Linked DNA regions of Canis lupus familiaris. The protein of the gene in region 1 interacts with the protein of each later gene in a biochemical or structural test. Links are inferred from orthologs where the notes say so. Each region holds a gene or a part of one and is shown on either strand. Other genes may lie near its edges.

What was found.
Region 2: the proteins of CRYAB (region 1) and CRYBA1 form a complex in vitro, tested with the Homo sapiens proteins (2 studies listed by BioGRID and IntAct, with this or other methods). The link is inferred for Canis lupus familiaris from reciprocal best matches to the Homo sapiens genes CRYAB and CRYBA1.
Region 3: the proteins of CRYAB (region 1) and CS form a complex in vitro, tested with the Homo sapiens proteins (3 studies listed by BioGRID). The link is inferred for Canis lupus familiaris from reciprocal best matches to the Homo sapiens genes CRYAB and CS.

The regions. Positions count from the first base shown.
Region 1 is NC_049226.1:21,212,490-21,219,790, reverse strand, and holds CRYAB (alpha-crystallin B chain), read right to left. Parts: upstream 4,476-7,301; 5' UTR 4,223-4,475; coding exon 4,022-4,222; intron 2,900-4,021; coding exon 2,777-2,899; intron 1,510-2,776; coding exon 1,306-1,509; 3' UTR 1,165-1,305; downstream 1-1,164. Other genes in the region: HSPB2 (heat shock protein beta-2), read left to right, coding at 5,335-5,428, 5,797-6,251. UniProt on the Homo sapiens protein: May contribute to the transparency and refractive index of the lens. Has chaperone-like activity, preventing aggregation of various proteins under a wide range of stress conditions.
Region 2 is NC_049230.1:43,346,020-43,352,934, reverse strand, and holds the end of CRYBA1 (beta-crystallin A3), read right to left. Parts: intron 6,208-6,915; coding exon 6,089-6,207; intron 4,593-6,088; coding exon 4,451-4,592; intron 3,739-4,450; coding exon 3,596-3,738; intron 2,958-3,595; coding exon 2,810-2,957; 3' UTR 2,715-2,809; downstream 1-2,714. UniProt on the Homo sapiens protein: Crystallins are the dominant structural components of the vertebrate eye lens.
Region 3 is NC_049231.1:960,175-967,739, reverse strand, and holds the start of CS (citrate synthase, mitochondrial), read left to right. Parts: upstream 1-3,418; 5' UTR 3,419-3,596; coding exon 3,597-3,638; intron 3,639-7,565. UniProt on the Homo sapiens protein: Key enzyme of the Krebs tricarboxylic acid cycle which catalyzes the synthesis of citrate from acetyl coenzyme A and oxaloacetate.

The DNA.
Region 1 (7,301 bases):
GAAGGCAAGAATCTCACTTTACTTTGTGGTCAGTCCTTGAAATCAGAAATTAGGTAGAAGCTACTACAGAAAAATAGTAGTATTTGTGAACAAATATGCCAGATAACCTATACCAGAGCTATTTTTCACTAGTTGAGTCAGAAGTTTTGTCTGAACCCACAAGTGGGATGGGGGTGTTTTTGTAGAGTAATACATCTTTGTTTAAGCTGAATAATAGAATTACTTATTGATCAATTATTAATAATTCTGAAACTTAATTTTTTTAGGAGGAGGGTTATTGGATGCTTCCCGTCTTCGTTGTTTTTTCTTTTTTTAAATATATATTTTTTAAAGATTGTATTTATTTATTCATGAGAGACACACAGAGAGAGGCAGAGACATAGGCAGAAGCAGGCTCCATGCAGGGAGCCCGACGTGGGACTGGATCCCAGGTCTCCAGGATCACACTCTAGGCTGAAGGCAGGCGCCAAACCGCGGAGCTACCCAGGGATCCCTTTTTAAAAATATTTTAATTTACTTTTTTATTAAGCTGTATATACAATGTGGGGGTCAAACTCAGGGGCCCAAGATTAAGAATTGCATGCTCTACCAACTAAGCCAGCCAGGCACCCCTTCCCAGTCTTAGATCCAAGATATTTGATAAATAATTTGGAGATTACAAATGAAAGGCTTGTTTGGTGATAGTAACTCAAATCCTATTCATTTCTCTTGCGAATTAGCTGAAGGCATTGCTTATCAGTAGGAAAATATCACTTTTGGCATACCACCTCCTGCCTGGCAACAGGATTAACTGCAGAGACTCACTAAGGTCTTTTATGCATATTTATCCAGAGTTCTTTCAGATTTGTTGTTGAAAATGAGTGCCAAAATCAGAGGAGGAGAGAGAGGAACTGATATTCCTTGAACTCTGACAAGGGCTTTTACCTACATTTCCTCCTGGATTTACTCTTTACAAGTGTACAAATCAGCTCCACGTGTTACAAATGTAATACCTAAGGACTAGAAAGGTTGACTTGCTAAATTTATACTATTAGTAAGTAGTAGAGACAGCCATTCTGACTTAATATCCCCAGAGTCCCCTAAATCATAATGTGATTAAATGGATCTGCTGTATTTTTACATTTATTTTTTAAAAATACAGAATATTCAAACACAAGACAGTTATCTGTTGCTGAATAGTATTTTATTAGCTTAATAATTTGGGCCTGCCCTTAGCATTAATAAGCTTCAGCACTAATCACAAGATTTTCATTCACTGGTGGGGAAATTTTCTTGTTTTAAAAAATGCAGTTAGAGAAAGGGCATCTATTTCTTGGGGGCTGCAGTGACTGCAGGCTTTTCTTCACGGGTGATGGGAATGGTGCGCTCAGGGCCTGAGGCCTGCTTCCTTGGTCCATTCACAGTGAGGACCCCATCAGATGACAGGGATGAAGTAATGGCAAGAGGATCCACATCGGCTGGGATCCTGTATTTCCTGTGGAACTCCCGGGAGATGAAACCATGTTCATCCTAATCCAAGAGAAAGAAGAAAGAGAGAGATAAGAATAGGAAATGGCACCACTTGCTGAGAACTCAGACATTCTCCTTCCTCTGACATGTGACCATACACCACTGCAACAAGAAAAAACCAAATGACTGTTCTGTTTGGGGCTAAAAAAAAAGTTGCCTAAGTGGTCACTCCCACCAATGAGAGTCTGAGAAATCTGAAACAGTGAAAACTGCACAGCTCTTCAAACTGAAGCATAGATATCTCTAGGAGTATTTCCCAAAGGTTTATATCAGTGTTGGGCCTACTGAAATATCATTCAGCACTGAAGATCTGAGTCCCTAAAGAAGTCCAGAAATTATCCTGACTCTTCAGGAATGTCCCAGAATGTCCCAGACCAACAGGACCACTGCTAAAACAACGACAACAATAAAACTTCATCCAGGGAGACTATGACCCAAACTTAAATCACATAAACAAAGCTGAAACAGACCAAGGACCTCAAACTATACTGTTTGATGCACAAGTATATGGGTTCTCAATAATCGGTAAGAAGCAGACTCTTTTAAAAACCCTCCCAGAAATTAATGAGAAGCTATTTCATTCTCTAGAATTCTGCTAAAAACTACCTGACCCCAACCTTTATACAGCTCAATCTCAAGGATTTATGCAGACAGGCTATCAATGAACTGATTTCCACATGGGCTTCAGGGTTCTAGCTGCTGAATGCAGCTCTGAAACTTAGACAAACCCAAGTAGTTCAGCATTTTAGATGAGCTAAAGATGAGAGCATTCTGGAACATCCAAAAGAAAGGCTCAAAGTCAAAGGTCTTCAGGATACGCGCAATTCATTTAATTATGTAAAGTAACCTGGTGTCTGACAAGCACTATTCCTAAATCAGTGGTCCTTAACTTTGAATGTTTATTAGAATAACCTAGGGAGCTTTTAGAAATGCTGATGCCTGGGGCCCACTTCTAAAACAATTTGATTTAATTGGTCTGGGATATGTCTAAGCGCTGAGATTTTTCTTTTCCATTCCCCTAATGATTCTAAGGTGGCCAAATACCACTGGCTTAAATGGGAAATAAACATCCCATATATCCCACCTAAGGCAATCATATCAAAACAAACAATAAGACCTCTTCTCTGGCCCAAACAAAAATAGGTTGTCCCGGTCCCAGACCCTCATGGCTTAAGACTGGACAGTTGCCAGGCTCAGAGGCTGACGGTAGAGTCTGGCATGTAGCACACAGTGGATGAATGAGCAGAAGAGAAAACACACTACACACCTGGCGCTCTTCATGTTTGCCATGCACCTCAATCACATCTCCCAACACCTTGACCTTGAGCTCCTCTGGGGAGAAGTGCTTCACATCCAGGTTGACAGAGAATCTGTCCTTCTCCAGACGCATCTAGAAATAGCAAGAGAGGAGAGGGTAGGAGAAAAGATGGTAGGAATGTGGATTGCATCAGTGCAGTCTCTTCGTTCTGCAGACTCGCTTTCTCTCCAGGTAGTTCATCCTTCTGTTTTTGGGTCAAAATCCCTTTTTGAATAAACATGGCTCTCTGGTTCAGGGGAGCCACTGGAGTGGTACCCAAGGCATGCCTCACGGTCATCAGACCCAAATTTCATGTACAGGGACAGGAAGAAAGACAGGCTACCCAGGGGAGCAATCGCAAGGATGGATCTGGACACGGCTCCTGCTGCCTCTCTGACCCCAATGCCTGGCCTTGTCATTTGTCTGTGAGACAAAGGCCCTTTCTTTTTACTCAGGCCCCTGCCAATTTTCCCACCCACTCAATCTGGAATGTTCTGCTGGTCTTGATTGTCCTTCCAAAGCCCTTGCTCACTCAGCTCCTGTTTACTCACATTTGAATATTTATTTTTAAACCAAAGCGTTCTCTGTGACAGCTCTGTCAAGCTTATCTGTTCACCCCCTTTCTCCCACCCTCTTAGGACAAGCGGGGGTCCCAAGACTGGACTTATGCCCTGTTCTTATCAGGTTTGGACACAGGTCAGTGCCCTGTCACAGTGCTGAGAAACCTGGAAAATCTTAGAGGAAGGAATAGAAAGAAAGTAAACAGTGTTTGCTGTCTTCAGCTCCATTCAGTGGAAGTGAAAAGCTCAGAATGAGGCAGGACTGTTTCCTGACTCTGAAACTTGAGATGCTAACATTTGTCAGGAGTATGAGATATCAGAAGAGGCGAGCAAAGGAGTCTGAAGGCAGCTCTTTCCCTGTAGATCTTTCTGAACCAAACCAGAAAGGGGCATCCTACTTAGAAGTTAGGAGATAGAGGGCGATCTTCACAGCCCGTGGAGAAAAGGCAGTAAGTAGGACACAGTGGAGCATCAAATACAAACAGGTAAACTGGTGGAAAGAACCAGTAGCCTAGTGTTTCTTAAACCCTGGTGGACGTACAAGTGCCTAAGATGCTTAGACATAGCCATATTCAGGCAGAGAGAAAAAGGAGAGCAGGTGGATATGTTTCCAGGAGGTTCTAGGAAGAACTCTCCTCTCCTGGCAGAAACTTACCTCTGAGAGCCCGGTGTCAATCCAGCTGGGTGCCCGCAGGAATGAGGGTGGCCGAAGGTAGAAGGGGCTCAGGGAAGTAGAAGTTGGGAAGAGATCGGACTCCAACAGGTGCTCTCCGAAGAACTGGTCAAAGAGGCGGCTGGGGGAGTGGAAGGGAAAGAAGGGGCGGCGGATCCAGGGGTGGTGGATGGCGATGTCCATGGTGGCTAGGTTGAGTGGAGGGGGTCAGCTGGCTGGTCAGCTCCTTCAGCCGCAGCTACAGCCAGCCCCTTATATACGCAGTCTTGTGAAGCTTCTGGAATGGTGATGTCAGGAGTTTTATTATCCCAGCTCACCACCCGTTCATGGAGACTTGTGATCAGGGATTTGGCAGTGTGACACATACCCAGTACTCACTGAGCTAAGAAAAGAGAAATACAAACACGTCTGAGCTGGCCAGTGACTTGTCCTGGTCCTGTTGCACTAGCTTTCCGTCCACACCCAGTAGTGCCCCCCCACACCCCCTTCTCTGGAGTTGGGAGGGAGTCAGGAATCCCAAGCAGGCGGCTGTTGTGCCCCTCCTCCTCCTCTCCAGCCTAGCGTGCCAGGGGAATTGGGCCAGTGACTATCTTGGGCCTGGGCAGGAACTGGAATCTTCCTAGGCTGGGCCCCAGGGACATTAACTCTTTATGGGTCCCTGGAGGAGAGCAGCCATCACCAGCAAGTCAGCGCCAGGCAGATATCTGTGTGGCGCCCGGGCTTGACCCTGGTTCAGGAGAGGACCCTGACATTCGTCTGGGCAGAAGACCCTTCACCCCACTCCAAAAAAGGGTGGGAAAGTTTCTTGCATCTTTCACCTTACACGGCGGCAGAACGTTAAAACCGGGACAGCTTTGTGCAGTCGGGTGTAGGGTGCCCGGGACTTAGGAGGACAGAGGGAGGAAATGTGGAAAATGTGCCAACGGTGAGGGTGAGGGTCGCAGCTAGGCCGCTGCAGGGCCTCGGGACCGGCCTCCCGCGGCAGCTCGCAGCTCGCAGCTCCAGCTCGCTGCCCAGCCAGGACCCCCCGCTGTCCCCTCGGGCCGCCTGCGACAGCTGCAGGGCGTGCGGGGGGGGGGGGGGGGCGCGGGGGTCCAGGCAGCGCGGGTCACACACTTGTCGCTGGCGCTCAGGGGCCCGGCCCCCGCCCCTCCCCCACCCCGGGCTCCGCACTATTTTGGGTGGTGTAGACCCCGCCCCCACCTCGGACCGAGCCCTGGCCGGCCCCGCAGCTGGAGGGGTCGCTGCTCTGTTGGGGCTGCAGCTCGGAGCAGAGCCGCCGACGCCTCGCAGCCATGTCGGGCCGCTCGGTGCCCCACGCCCACCCGGCCACCACCGAGTACGAATTCGCCAACCCCAGCCGCCTGGGCGAGCAGCGCTTCGGAGAAGGTATGGCACAGACGCCACCCCCGGCCTCCCGCCCCCACCTCCTGAGATTCCGGGCTGACCTCCCGACAGTGCTGGCCTCCACCCCACTCCGGGCTTAACTGAACTCCTGGGGCGAGCCGTCTCCCACCCGGACCCCCCCCGCCCCCGCCCCCGCCAAGCAGGGCTCGGTCCCCTTCCCGCTGACCTCGGGGCAGATGCCCGGCCCTGACCCCCTGGCTGGGCCCGTGCTCCCCTCTGTCCCGCGGTCCCCGCCCGGCCTGCCCTCTGCACCCCCATCTCGGCCCCTGGCCCCCTCCTGCCCCCCCCCCCCGCCCTCCCTGGCCCTCACCCCTCGTCCCCGGCTCATCCTGCCTCATCCTGCCCCTCAGGCCTCCTGCCCGAAGAGATCCTGACCCCCACCCTCTACCATGGCTACTATGTCCGGCCCCGGGCCGCCCGCGCCGCCGAGGGTAGCAGGGCAGGGGCGTCTGAGCTTCGGCTCAGCGACGGCAAGTTCCAGGCGTTTCTGGACGTGAGCCACTTTACGCCCGACGAGGTGACCGTAAGGACTGTGGACAACCTGCTGGAGGTGTCTGCCCGGCACCCCCAGCGCCTGGACCGCCACGGCTTCGTGTCCCGGGAGTTCTGCCGCACCTACGTCTTGCCCGCCGATGTGGACCCCTGGCGGGTCCGGGCGGCTCTCTCCCACGATGGCATCCTTAACCTGGAGGCACCTCGGGGTGGCCGACATTTGGACACGGAGGTCAATGAGGTCTATATCTCCCTGCTCCCTGCACCTCCCGATCCAGACGAAGAGGAGGAGGCAACCAGGGTTGAGCCCTGAGTGTCACTGAGCCAGCACCCAGCGAACCCCTTTCTACCCCCCGCGGTGGTATGAGCAGCTGCCCACCGCCCCAGAGGTAGCCGCATCCTTGGGGGGAGGGGGAGAGTGCATGGCCCACAATGTATGGTTTGGTCCCTTGAGACATGTCATAGCCTTTGGTTTAGTTCTGGGTGGAGCTGAATAAACCCAAATCTCAGGGCCTTGTTTGTGCTGCTCCCTGTTCTGTGGCCTGGACGATGGGATGGGCAGGGAGGGAAGAGGCCATAGCCAGCGAGACAAAAGCTCCTCCGTTAGATGTGCCCCACGTCACAGCACCCTGAGCTCACACTTGGATGCTGAGATCATACCCGGAAGCTGACACTGGCTCCAGATCAAATTCCTAGCTGTAATTTTCTCACAATGCAACAAAAGAGAGAGTGATCCTGGGAGGGGAAAGGGATATGCCATCCAAACAGCCCAGAGGGCACTGTCTGAGCTGGTGATTAGAGACACAAAAACAAGGGTCTCCAGCCTGTCTGGCCTGTTTCGGGTAGGGGTTGGGAAAACAGTGTTAGCTGGAGAGAGTTGCCTAAAGCCCTGTTTTCCCAGAGTAAGATCTATCCACTGAAAATGGTCCCTGATTCTGAGCGGTGGAGGCATACACAGGGCACAGACACAGACGCCTCTGCCATTGTCACCAAACCACCAAGTGTCTCCAACCTGTGCACAGGGTCTATGAGAGAAAGCATCTGTTTCTAATCTTGGAACATCCCAAAGAGAGGAATCACTTAGTCCAAGACTAAATGCAGGGGCACTAGAGCTATTTATATGGTGATGGCGGCCAGGGAATCTTCCTTTGGAAGCAGACTCTTAATACTAGGGACATGGTGTGTTCAGAAAAGTGTGGGCATCTGGCTCCTCAGTTACTCTCTGTAGTTTGTGCATGTGTTGATTTGAGAAGGGTCCATAAGACCTCCTTGCCCCCAAATATATATTTTACCAGGTTGTGGTGGACACCTGAAATTCTTCCATTTAAGTGGTTGATTCTGAACTTTTTAAGGTTACAGACCC
Region 2 (6,915 bases), on another chromosome or scaffold:
AAATGGGAGGTAACTCAGATATGAGGGAAGGACCTTTGCCACATGGAGTTCTGTGACAATTCTGTGTTGTAAGCCTGGTTTAAAGGTAGGATAATCTTTTCCCTTTATTGCTTTAGCATATGTTTGGTTTTACTGAATGAATGACGAGCTTATAATCATTCATCTATTTAAAGATCAAAGCACAGGTTATTTTAAAGATAATGTGTATCTTTTAAAAGTTGCCCAAGCGGATTAGAATAAAGTGAAGAAGTTGGGCGAATTTGGTTAAATTGCTGCAGTCTGCATGTACTAAATAGCTTTACTTCACATGTATGTGTACTTAAACAATTGTGTAGATGTACTGGCCAGGTTTGTCAAGTCATCTTTTAAAAGATTGTTTTGTAATCTACTTAGGACTTTTAGAGAAGAGGCTAAATAAGTTTAAGTAGAAGATAATATTAATGGTACTTTCCCCATGCTCCTAGATCTAAAAGAAATATTTCTGATTTGTAAGTTTTTTCCAATGTGTAGAAGAGGGTTACTTCTCTATCATCAAGTGTGCTTTTGATGTATGTTCTGTTGACTTTGAAAACAGCAAAAACCCTTCTTTCTGAAAGTGACAGTCAAAAACTAAATCTAGTAGTCAAGATTGCAAAGGTAGCCCATCATGCCTGGCCTAAAAAGTAAAAAATGCAGGAGAGTAGTAGCGTCATCTTAAGTTGGCCATGGCTACTTCTCCGCGTCTGTCAGTAGTTCACTTATGTTCAGTGTTAGAACAAACATTGAAGGAGCAAAGTAATTTCTGTGTCTTGTGTGCATCAACACTTAGGAGCTGAGTTACCTCTTCTCGATCTGCGGGAAAGGATAATTGGACTATAATTATGTTGGAGGATATTTTTCTTTCCCTCTCCCAACTATTTTTTTTCAGTGTTTTTTTTTTGCCCAGTCAAAAAGATAGGCCTTTTCTAGATAAAAGAACAGTGGCCAGAAATTTACCCTTTTGCTAATTGCTTAGGTATTTGCCATAGCTGTTTCTGATGTCATGGATTCTGAGGAAGTGTCAGTTACATGATGATCTTCCTTTATTGATGTCTTACTCCATGTTCAGTGTTTTAAAAATATAAATTACAAACACTCAACATCCATACCCAGATTTACTTATTTTATCAGAAAAAAAACCTTGAGAAATTTGTAGATCAAATTAAGAGACAATAAGTGTACATTGTTGAATAAAAAATTTTAAAGTTTCTGAGGTGTTTGTGTTATCTTTTGTGTGCTTTTAAAAGTTATATACTGAAAACTAAGATTGTGGGATGTACAAATTAAGTCTTAAGTGTACCATGGTCATATGTCATTGATTTAAAGCAAATCATACAGATGCTTAGAATTGGCATATTTATTTTAAAATGACCTGTGAGAACAGCTATCCTATTCCTTAATGCCCATTGATCCTTAATGTTCTTCAATTGGAATAGGAAGCCAAAATTAAACTAAGCAGTTAAGCAACTAGATCTAAGTTGCCAAGATTCTGAATTTGTGACTTTATGTTGAAATACATGGCAATGCATATTTGAGAAACTTCCTAAGTTTGTATAGCATTGATTTGTCACAAGTTGAAAAAAATCGGTGCTAACATCAACATGTTAGAGTAGGGAATGTGGGGAAGAGATGTAAAAACATTTACCATAAGTGTGTTTGTTTGTCACTATATAGACTGATACATTTCATATGCTTTTATGTTCTTTGAGTTAAGGAAGAATTGTCAGTTGGCCTGCTGAGTGACTTGCAAGGATACAAAGGGAATTGGGGGTTTTATTGAAGCTTGTCTTTAAAAATTCTCAGCCCCATAGGTGTGATTTATAAAGTATGGTGGGGGACACCTGGGTGGCTCAGTGGTTAAGCGTCTGCCTTCAGCTCAGGGCATGATCCTGAAGTTCCAGGATCGAGTCCCACATTGGGCTCCCTGCGTGGAGCCTACTTCTCCCTCTGCCTATGTCTCTGCCTCTCTCTGTCTCTCATGAATAAATAAATAAAAATCTTAAAAAAAAATGGGATGCCTGGGTGCCTCAGGTCTTGATCTCACAGTCCTGAGTTCTAGCTCCATGTTGGACTCCATGCTGGGTTTGGAGCCTACTTAAAAGGGCACCTGAGTGGTACAGTTAAGCATCCAACTGTTTTTGAAGATTGTGATCTCAGGGTCTTGATCTCAGAGTTGTGAGATAGAGCCGTGTGCCGGACAGTCCACTGATCATGGAATCTACCTAAGTTTCTCTCTCCTGCCCTCCCCCACCCCCCTGCACTTACACTCTTTCAAATCTTAAAAAAAAAAAAATGGGCATGTGGGTGGTTCAGTCGGTTAGGCATTGCCTTCAGCTCAGGTCATGCTCTCTGGGTAGTGAGATTGAGTCCTGCGTTGGGCCCCCTGCTCAGCAGGAAGCCTGCTTTTCCTTCTCTCTCTGCCCCTCCCCCCCTTCATGCTTTGCTCTCTTTCAAATAAATGAAATCTTTAAAAATCAGTAAAACTGGGGTGCCTGGGTGGCTTAGTGGTTGAGCATCTGCCTTTGGCTCAGGTCATGATCCCGGGGTCCTGGGACTGAGTCCTGCATCAAATTCTCTGCATGGAGCCTACTTCTCCCTCTGCTTTTGTCTCTGCGTCTCTCTCTCTGTTTCTCATGAATAAAAAGTAAAACTAAAAGCGTGGTAGTTCATTCAGTCTACACAGTTGTGTGTGTGTTTTTTTTTTTTTTAATGACATTTATTGTGGATTTCAGCAGCTAACATAAAACTAGATTGCTTAGCAAGGTTCCTCTTACTTGGAGCTTTCAATCCACTACTGTTGAATACGGCGAATTGATTGAATCTGGGAAGTCTGGGCATGAGAACCCCACTCTCTCCAGTGTTTATAGTCTCCTCCATGATGGTCACATTCCAAGATATATTGATACCCGCGATATCCAGGATACTGGTAGCAGACCCAGCTAGAAAATCCAAAGCACATTAGATTATTAAAACTAGTTAGGAAAGGGGTCAGTACCCTACAACCTGAGTCTCTTTCATCAACACAATTGGTATGGAATGCTTTTACGTTTAGAAAACAACAGCCATTCTAAATGTGCCAAGCACCATTTGTGAACATAATATGGCTATAGCTAGTTGAAAATTAACTTTTGATCATGAAAAAAAATGTAAAAGGGCGCCTGGGTGGCCCAGTAAGTTAAGCATCTGACTCTTGATTTTGGCTCAAGTCATGATCTCAGGGTTGTGAGATGGAGCTCCGCACTCAGTGGGAAATCTTCTCTCCCTCTCCCTTTGCAGCTGCCCCTATTTATGCATTCTCTTGCTCTCAATAAATCTTAAAAAAATAAAAAATTTTTAAAAAGAGTAGTCAACAAATAATTACATAGAGAAATATTTAAGAGGGGGAAACACTGACCTTAAGTAGAAGTTGGTACCAACAACTTAAAATTTGAAAATTACTAATAACTAGAATGTGTCAGCCATACCAATATACTAATGTATGAAATCTCATAAACTATAACCATTGATGTATTAATACAAGGTTTACATTTGCAAGAGTTACTTTGAAATGTGCCCCATCCCTGTCTTTTGTACTTACGCCCCACATTGTATCTTCATGGAACCAACTTCATTGTTGAACCAACCCATGGCTTGCAAGGAGGGATAGTCATCACAGATCTCCCATTGGCGTCCAATGAAGTTTTCCTTCTCAAAGATGGTAATCTTTGACTCCTTATGATTCTGTAATGCAAAAAAATTTTAAATCATTTAGTACCCGTGTTGATGGCTGTCATCTTAATTCTTTAATTTCTACATTTTTCAAATTAAAAAAGCTTTTGGTTTACATTTTAAGAATGTTTCAATATGGAGATATGGAGATAAAAATACTCAATCCTGTCCAATCAAATTTAATACCGTAACATTTAAAATGTACAAATAATTGATATAATACTTTGGGGCAACAAAAATCATAGAAAATATAATAAGAGCAGGAAGAAACACACAGCCAACCAAGGGAGTTAATATTCACTTATGTGAGAAAAGATCACAGAAATTAATAGAAAAAGTAAGGCTGTGTGTGTATGTGTGTGTACAGTGCTGGAAATAACCTAAAGTCTGGTAGGGGATATGAATACTACGCAAACATTAAGGCAGAGACTAACCTGTATGTAGTACAAAAACGCAAACCTAGCTCTCACTAGTTCTCCTACTGCACTGAAGATCTGCCCTCGTAAGTATACACTTCTGCCAATCTTTTAGCTTAATGAAAATACCTTCTAGTAGGGAAAAAATCAAAGGGCAAATTTGGAAACAGAGGGACCAATGTTCTCTCTTTTATCCTTCCTGCTGCATTTCAACGTAACTGATGAGAAGTAGCACTAAATGTCCATCCACACGCACCCTCTCTTGCACCATCCCCCCACGTGCACAGAAGTGAAAAATTCAGACTCACGGCTGAACAGATGGGGCGGAAGGACATGAGGCGCTCAATGTGGTAGGCGTTACTCCCACTCCAGGCGTCCCAGCGAGGGTACTCTCCTCTCTCCAAGATGAACTGTTGCCCACAGAAGCTGGTATGCTCATAACCAATCCAGCTGCCAGAGACAAGCAGTGGGGTTTGTTGGTGGTGTTCAGAGCCTACATGGCCTCAGGGAGAGGCACCTTTTTTTTTTTAAGATTTTATTTATTCATGAGAGACAGAGAAAGGCAGAGACATAGGCAGGGGAGAAGCCGGCTTATCAAGCCAATTCCAAGAGAGCCATGCAAAGTGATACATTTGTCACAAGAGGCGGGGAACGAGCTGGCAGCTACCTGAAGCAGGTTTGTGAATGTAATGTTTGTTTGGGGATTATCCACTGAAAGGGTCTGCTTCACTGACCTGAGTAATGCGTATGAACAAAGTCAGTCTGAAATTAGATTTCCTTTCTCTCCAAGTCACCTTATTCTCTACTTGGAGCTCTAGGTTCAGGATCTAGTGACTGACTATTGCTTTGGCTCCAGCCAAACCTACTGGCTTCTCCCTAAGGAAGCAAAGGGATGGACAGGCAGCTGATGGATTACTAGTCTCTTGTTTCCTGATAACTTTGTGGGTTCTAGCTCCTGCTGTCACACACCTGTTCCTTATTTATTTATTTATTTTAAAGATTTTATTTATTCATGAGAGACTCAGAGAGAGAGGCAGAGACACAGGCAGAGGGAGAAGCAGGCTCCATGCAGGGAGCCCGATGCAGGACTAGATTCTGGGACTCCAGGATCACACCCTGAGCCGAAGGCAGACACTTAATAGCTGAACTACCCAGGCATCCCTGTTCCTTATTTATTAAAACACCTCAGGTCCACTTTTCACAACCAAGTCTCTGCTACCAGTGACATCTTAAAGTATTTTACTCCCTTTAAATGGTTAACTCAGTTTAGTGGCCCACAACTTGTGGAAGCCGGAAGCCTCTCTGTGTGCTATGCCAGCTTCACTTAGGCTAAGGGAGAGACCTTTCCTTGGTGGTAAAGGCTTCAACTATCCTGCCAAAGAGTCAGGAAACAAACCACGAGTCTAATTCGTCCAAGAAATTAATCATCAACAAGAAACTCCTGAATGACTAACTGGGACCTGATACAGCTCTCACGTCCTAGAGTTGAGTTCCTTTTTACACAGAGAAACTAGCTGGTAGTGCCTTTGCAGGAGGGAGTTAGCTGGAAAGAGGTTGCTGCTTGCGGGTTTCCTCTATTTTTCTGTCGGCAAGACAAACTAAAGGGTCCTGTGCCTCTTCTGAGAGAATCCTATGTAGCAGCCTATGAGCTCTAGGGGCACAGATCTGATTCCTGTCACTGCCCCACCCCATGGTCTACATTTCCTTAATGCTCCCCTCCTCAAATCTATTACCAATCCACTAGAATCTTCAGTTCCTTCTAGCTTTGAGTTACTAAATTACACATATAGTGATTTCCTTTGAGACTACCTCCATATGGACGCCTTTCTCCCAGAAATGATTAGAATCTGGGGGAACATCTTTTTTCCCTATCCCCACCTTTATGGCCCCATGTCTCCAGAGACCACAAATATGGGTCCCAAGGTTCTGCTGAGGTCCATACTCACGCGCCGCATTCCACCTTGAGAGACCGGACATTATCAAAACTGCGCTCAGAGACATTTGGGCAGGAGCTGGTGAACTCCATCCTCTTGCCCTGGAAATTCTCCTGATCATAGATGGTTATCTGAATGGAATTGAATGGGAAAACAGAGTTTGAATGTGGTACTTCAGGAAGAGCAGAGGCCCAGGTCAAGAGCTTAACTTTGGTCTGTAGCCCAGGATGTCTGGTAAGGTCTCTTCCAGTATAGACAGGATAGGAAGGAGTTTGGATTATACCACTGGTTGGTGGTGTTTACATGTCCAGGCAAGGGATGAAGTGTAAGGATTGGTTTATGATAGGAATTGTTTGCCAAGGACAATGCCTGGTCTAGTGGACAGGCCAAGGACTCATAAACTCTTATTCCACCTTACTTTCTGCATAAATGTGGCCCAGAAGTAAGGACTCTGAGACTCCCAGAACTTCCTGTGGGTTATTTATTATCTTCTCCAGTCATATTCAATACAGAAATGCAAGGTGTAAATGGAGATTTGTGATAAACCCATTTCATACCTTGAACTAGAATTTGGCTCTTAAACCTGGCTAGAGGACAAACTCCCAAAGCTGTGAGCTGTCCTTAGAGTTAACCCAGTGAAAAGGGTAGGGGTGTTGAGGAAAATAGTGAAAAGCTAAGGATCAGCCACTTCAGGCAATGGTTACAATCAACCTCAGGCTGAGAGTGAGAAGACCTTGTTTGGGATCTGGTAGCAAATCTCTTTTTATTTCTGGGACTCCAGAAATGCTCCACTCTCCATGGCAGCATCATCCACTCCGGACTGCTCTATTTTTTTTTAA
Region 3 (7,565 bases), on another chromosome or scaffold:
GTAAGACTATAGTTTTTATTTTATAAAATGTTTAAAAATATAGAACACACACACACACACAAAAATATAGAACACATTGAGCTGATGTGCCCAGGAGGCAGTTAACAATGACTCAGAAGTCCCCATCCTGAGTTGCAGCTGATAATTCACATTCATCACCATAAAAACAATACAGCTTAGTAGTTAAGATACAGCTTCTGGCCAATTATGAACTATAATCCTTAGCTGGATACTTTAAACCTTGGTTTCCTCCTCTGTAAAGATACTATTACCTACATCCCTTAGACTTGTTGTGAGGATTAATTTTAAGATAATGGGTGTACCATATTTATATAGTACCTGAAAATTGTAAGTATACATTTTTTTTTTTAAAGATTTTATTTATTTACTCATGAGAGGCAGAGACAGGCAAAGGGAGAAGCAGGCTCCATTTGGGGAGCCCGATGTGGGACTCAATCCCAGGACTCTGGGATAAGGCCCTGAGCCAAAGGCAGATGCTCAACTGCTGAGTCACCTGGGCATCCCTGTAAGTATAAATTTTAGCTATTACTGATACAGGCAGTTTAAGTTGAAGTTTGGATTGCATTCCCCTCACCCCCAGCTTACCCATAGCCACCAGGGGGCACCATTGCCTCTTCATTTTAAAGAGGATCTTGCAAGGTCAATATGACCTCAATTGTCAGCCTTCTCTCCATTGCCCCCTCTCCTCAGGCACTTAGTTGTATTTGGACCTAATGCTCATTTGGTTGCTTTATTCATAGCAGTCCTCCCTTTCTTCTCTCTTCCCCAGGTCCCATTCACATTTAGAAAGAGATTCTAAGTTAGCTTCTGTGAAGTAACATTTAGTCCTTCTGATCCCTGGGCTTTCCCACTGGCTTTATAGTAGTTGACGTCAAGACTAAACAACTTCAAAACAAGCCCATAAAGCCTTCATAACACTAGTCTCCAGGACACGGTGTCAAAAGCACTGCTGTTTCTCACCTTCCCTCCAATCATTAGAGCTCCAAAGTAGGTTACCCTTATGGCCACTCTGATTTATCTCTTTGAGTGGGGGGCACCTGGCTGGTTCAGAAGGTAAAGCATGCAATTCTTGATATCATGGTTGTGAGTTTGAGTCCCACATTAGGTGCAGAGATTACTTAAATAAAATTTTGGGGACGCCTGAGTGGCTCAGCAGTTGAGCATCTGCCTTCAGCTCAGGTTGTGATCTTGGAGTCCCAGGATCAAGTCCCGCATTGGGCTCCTTGCATGGAGCCTGCTTCTCCCTCTGCCTGTGTCTCTGCCTCTCTGTGTGTCTCTCATGAATAAATAAATACTTAAAAAAAATAAAAACATTTTAATAATAATAGTTAATATCCCTTTGGTAGCCTCATCCTGAAAATGCCTCCTGTCTTGCGGGCACTGGAGTTCAGGCCCCTGGTCAGCTGGTTGGTGTCTGTGGATAATTAACTAGAGAGCAGAAACCAGGTCAGACTATTCTAGGGTTAGGAGGAAATATCTGTAAGATACTAAATTGGGAGCAAATATTGATAAGTGGAACTTTGAAGTCACCGAGAAGGTAGTTGAGGTCAATGTTCCTTTGGGGCTCTGCCTGGCTTTTCTTTATGAAGTTCCTTCCTAAGTCCTACCTATCTGAACCCTAAATCAGAGGAGTATTGGTTGGTAGGTCTGAAACTAAGTACAAGGTAACTTGGGAAGAGAAATAGTGGCTTTCTTTCTCTTTCCCACTCAAGCTATAAACCAGGTTCTTTATAAAAGAGGTCTATCGGGATCCCTGGGTGGCGCAGCGGTTTGGCGCCTGCCTTTGGCCCAGGGTGCGCGATCCTGGGGACCTGGGATCGAATCTCACTAGGGCTCCCGGTGCATGGAGCCTGCTTCTCCCTCTGCCTATGTCTCTACCTCTCTCTCACTGTGTGCCTATCATGAATAAATAAAATAAAATAAATAAAAATAAATGAGGTCTATCTAAGGGCAGCCCTGGTGGCTCAGCGGTTTAGCTCGGCCTTCAGCCCTGGGGGTGTGATCCTGGAGACACGGGGTCTAGGCGCATGTCAGGCTCCCTGCATGGAGCCTGCTTCTCCCTCTGCTTGTGTCTGCCTCTCTCTTTCTCTCTCTCTCACCCTCTGTGTGTGTGTCTCTCTCTCATGAATAAATAAAATCTTAAAAAAAAAAAAAAAGGTCTATCTAAACCTGGTTTAGGTGGTACTGAGACTTCTGAATCTTGTTACTGCTCTGTGAAGAGATAAAAGAACTGTTTATTTGGGGCTTGGGGTTTGTAGATAAGGTGCCCTGGTCCTTGGGCCAGTTTCACCGTGCCCCTAGGTCAATGACAATGATACTCTTAGGAAGTGCAAAGGTCCTGAGGTCTTGTCTTCCTAGAGAAGTTAGTCAAGAGTGATATGAAAGATCACTTTAGTACTGTGGTTCATTTAATGATCCCTGGCAAGCATAGGATAAGAGTGTACAGAAGACAGCCAAGTAGGAGCAGGGGTCCAGAAGCTCCATGGAAGTGATGTGACAAAAGGAGAGGGTGCTTAATGCCTGATTTTGGATGTGGGGCTGGTCTGCAACTTTTGCCCTTATGTCTGGCTAGATGTGGGGTGAACTGGCTGCATGGGGTTATGTGACTAGAGTGGCTGAGACCCAGAGGTTCTGGCCTGTGCTGGAAAACTGTCATTTTTCTTTTTAAGATTTTTTTTTTTAAGTAATCTCTACACCCAAGGTGGGGCTCCAGCCTACAACCCCGATATCAAGAGTGGTATGCTCCACCGGCTGAGCCAGGTAGGCGGCCTCAGAAGCCTTCATATTAAGGGGCATCTGTAAGACTTCGACTTCCCCGCACTGGACGCAGAGCTGACGGCCCGTAAACAGCACTGGATACCAGCCTCCCGCCTTTGCCTTCCTTCCCCATGTATTAGGGGTCTCTTTATCTATAAAGATATACCGTGGCCTCGGCTGACCTCAAAGGATCGCCAGGCAGCCAGCGCTGGCATCATAGCCTGTCCACATGACGTCACCTCTAAGGCCATTAAGTCACTGACCAAAGGCATTCCTCAGGAAAGACCGCCAGCTGGTAGGAGGGGCAGGCAGTGGTCGGTGGCCGCGACGGTACAGGATGGGACCGGCTTCCGAGGCCCTCTGAGGTCGGAGTCCTCGGTCAGAGCCCTCCTCCCACACTCCCCTCAGAGCTAACCCCGAACCGCTGAGGGCGAGAAGGGAAGCCGAGGAGGAAGTTAACGGAGTTAGCAGGCACATACTTAGGCAGCTCCGCGCCCCCTCCCGGCCCAGCCCGGCGGTCCAATCCTGCCCGCCGCGCCCGCTGTCAGCGGCTCAGGTCCCGCCCCCGCGGACGCCGGGCCAATGGCCGGGCCCGAGGCGAGTCCCCTGGGAGGGGCGGGAGCGAGTCGGGGCGGGGGGCGGGGCCTCGCCGAGGACCCCGGGCTGGGCGCCGCCGCCGGCTCGTCTCCCCTTTCCCTCAGCCGCCTCCTTTCAACCTTGTCGGCCCGTCGGCGCGGCCCTCGGTGCAGCGGCGGCGGCTCCCCCGGCCGCAGCTCTCCCGGTCCTGCCTCCCCGCCGGAAGCCCGCGTTCGCCCGTCATGGCTCTACTCACTGCGGCCGCCCGGCTCTTCGGAGCCAAGGTGAGCAACTCCGGGAGGGAGCGCGCGGCCCCAGGGTGGGGCTGAGGCGACTGCAGGCCCTCGGGCGCCGGGGTCCCCTCCCCTCCACCTCACACCCCTGCGCGCCTTAAAGGGGCCCGGCGCCTGGCTGGCCGCCAGCCCTCGGTGGCGCTCCCAGGCCATGTGCTCCGCTGGCCTCCTGCCCCCGGGGGTGAAGAGGGCGCTGCCCGCTCCGGCCTGCGGTCTTGGGCGGGCGGAGAGCCCGGACGCTGCTGTCAGCCGGCTCGGCCAGGACGGGGGAGCCCCGGAAAGGAGCTGCCGCTGGAGAGCCTCGGTGTCGTGTGCCTCCGGACTTAGGGGAAGGGCCCGTTGGGGAGAGGGGTGCGGGGGTAGGAGAGGCGGCCGGCGGCCGGCTCCGTGCACTGCCCCTGGTGAGCTGCGCCGTGGCCGGCTTCGGCTTCTGCTTTGCGGAGAGGGCCTTGTCGGCTCCCAAACTGCTTCTTACTGTTTCTCCAACCCAATTTTTGAAGCTTTTAGTGACCGAGCCTTAGCAGTTCTGCTGGTAGAGTGGTACTGGGTCCTCTTTGTCCTTGGGACTCTTGCACTTACTCTTCGTATAGGAGGAGCCTGGGTGGGGTGGAGCCCTTCTGTAAGACCTTCTGCATGATTATCACATAATGATTGCAGAAAGAACCAGAAAGATTTTTCCTTCAAACGGCAGGCCAGAAAGTGAAGATACTGGACTGGAGATAGTGCTGCCAAAGTCACATGACCGGTCCTACTCCTTGCTCACTCAGGCTTAGCTATTGCTTTGAAGTCTACCCAGGAGAGAGCCCTCTCGTTCTTTGAGGCCCTCATTTACTTGAATGTTCGTTCTTGCCTTTGGATCATAGGAATCTTGTTGCAGGTAATGGTGCTTTCAATTTCAAATGGCCAGGGCTTTGGTGCCTGGGTCACTTAACCCTTTAAATAGAGAAACTGCTGTTTTGAGGAGAGAGTCCCAGCCCTTTAATCCAGGCAGGGACAGTCCCACAAGTGACCTTGACTTCTGCAGAGAACTTACACTTTCTCCTGCAGATTAAAGCTGCCAGCACCTGGAGGAAAGGAAAGTCTTAGGATGGCATTGGCGTGCTGTGTGTTAGCTTGCATGGCTGGCAGATGAGGTGAAGCCTGTAGAATCTAGCATGGAGGTTCTTCCGGGTGCCCAGCAGCAGGTGGAGGCTGATCGTTTGGGAGACACTTGTCTTACTTGGGAGACACTTGTCTTACTTGACTGTTGCTTCTGCTGCTGCCAGGGAACAGGGTAAGGAAGGCCCCTTGGGAAATGAGGCGAGTTCTAGATAGTGTTTTGGCAGAATAGGGGACACGACACCATAATTAGCTCATTCCAGAGCTCCTAACCCAGACCAGATCATTTAATCCTTCAGTGATTTTTAAAAGCCTTTAGAATTTAGTTTTTGAATTCATTTTGTTTTTTTAAGCCTCTGGGGAAGCCCAGGAAGCTTTTGGGATGATAGTGCTACATAATTGTAGAATCAGTATTGTTTTGTTTTGTTGACTTTACTGGTAGAAATGATCCTGAGGACCCCAGAAACCTGTAAATTGGAAGCCATTTGAAAGCTTTTGATCCTTAAAAACTAGCAAAGCCCAAAAAACTCCAGTGGAAATTTCCTGAGATCTCAGTAGAATAACCAAGATAGCAAGAAGGAAGCCTGTTCACTTTGTAGCATTGCTAGCACCTGCCTTGAATATTCAGATCAGCCTAAAGCTTAACTGATTTTACTTTTGCTGCTAAGGTAGGCTTTGGAAAGCAAAGAGAATTCATTTCCTGATCTGGGAACACTGACCCCTACCACTTTGATTCTCAAGGTCAGATGTAGTTTCACTTTTCTGAGAAGAGATTTTTTTAACCTTGCTAGGTGACACAAATGCCAGTCATTGTTACATTGTTCCACTCTATCCACTTTCAGGTAATTTAATGAACACCTGAGTTGGAAAGAGATACTAGTTCAGATTATTCGACTTCTTGTTTACCCAAATGAATTTCTACTAAACGGTGGTCTTAGTATTAGCTGTGGATGCCTTATCTTTGTGATGTATTATTTTTTCACATGTGATCTGAGTTTGGATTTGGGTCGGGAGTTAGAGTATGGCCACTGATTTATTTCTGTTCTCTCTTTTAACACTATTGTGACTTAACAAATCATAATTATTTCTTGTACCATTGAGCACTGCTCCTCTAAGCCAAGATGTTCAATGACTTTGAGAAAATCAAGCCAAAAGTGTTAAGTATTTCTACACTTTTTTTTTTTTAAAGAGTTTATTTATTTCTTCATGAGAGACAGAGAGAGAGAGGCAGAGACAGGCAGAGGGAGAAGCAAGCTCCATGCACGAAGCCTGATGCAGGACTCGATCCCGGGACCCCGGGATCACACCCTGAGCCAAAAGCAGATATTCAACTGCTGAACCACCCAGGCGTCCCTCTAGACTTTTTCAAGACATGTATTTAATACTTATAATTCCTTTACAGTAGATCTACATCACTGAACGTGTTTTGTATTAATCCTAGTTAGAAATCGGGTTCAACAAAAGTTAAGTTTTTTCTGTGAAATATTAGCTAGGCTCTCAGTTCAGAACTTTTATTTTATTTTTTTAATGTTTTAAGTTGGGAATCCCCGGGTGGCTCAGCGGTTTGGCGCCAGGGTACAATCCTGGAGTCCGGGGATCGAGTCCCGCATCAGGCTCCCGGCATGGAGGGAGCCTGCTTCTCCCTTTTCCTGTGTCTCTGCCTCTCTCTCTCTCTGTGTCTATCATAAAAATAAATAAATAAATATAAATAAATCTTTTTTAAAGATGTTTTAAGTTTATTTATTTAAGTAATCTCTACACCCAACATGGGGCTTGAACCCACGACCTCAAGATTAAGAGTCACATGCTCTTTCAACTGAGCCAGCCAGGCACTCTGTACAGCCTAGAACTTTTAAAGGCAAGCACCCAAATCTATGTGTCTTCACTTTGATTATCAGCCTGCTCAAAGGGATGTCAGTTCCTTGGTGCTTGCTAGGTGGGCTGAAGATGAAAAATGGAGAGTAAATCCTCCTCATGTGCTACTGGTGGGATAACTGCATTTGTCTATCCTAGTGGCCTTTTTTAAGATTTTATTTATATTTATTCATGAGAGAGGCAGAGATAGGGGAGGGATAATGGGACTCATCCGGGGATCACTACCTAAGCCAAAGGTAGATGTTCAACCACTGAGCCACCCAGGTACGTGCCCCCCAGTGGCCTTTAGATTGTTAACAGATGAATGCATGGGTGTGGGGAAGCACTGCTAAAGTAGATCATTAGAAAGGTGAAGGCTGGCATTCTTGTTTCTTTAGAATCCAAGTGGGCAGAAGGCAGGAAGCCAGATGTGGTGGATCTCTCTAAAGCTACATAGTAATTCTTTTTGCCCTTCAGTGCTCTATGTGATAGAGTTGAGTAGGGCATGAAATTTAAAACAGTAGTGAAGGGCCGCCCAGGTGGCTCAGCAGTTTAGCACGGCCTTCAGCTCAGGGCCTGATCCTGGAGATCTGGGATCCCTGCAGGGAGCCTACTTCTCCCTCTGCCTGTGTCTCTGCCTCTCTCTCTCTCTCTCTCTCTCTGTGTCTCTCATGAATAAATTAAAATCTTAAAAAATTTTTTTTAATTTTTATTTATTTATGATAGTCACAGAGAGAGAGAGGCAGAGACACAGGCAGAGGGAGAAGCAGGCTCCATGCACCGGGAGCCCGATGTGGGACTCGATCCTGGGTCTCCAGGATCGCGCCCTGGGCCAAAGGCAAGCGCCAAACCGCTGCGCAACCCAGGGATCCCGAATAAATTAAAATCTTAAAAAAAGAAAAGAAACAGTAGTGAAGCAAAGTTAGCAATAGGTCTTTAAAAAAAAAAATAAGATTTTATTTATTC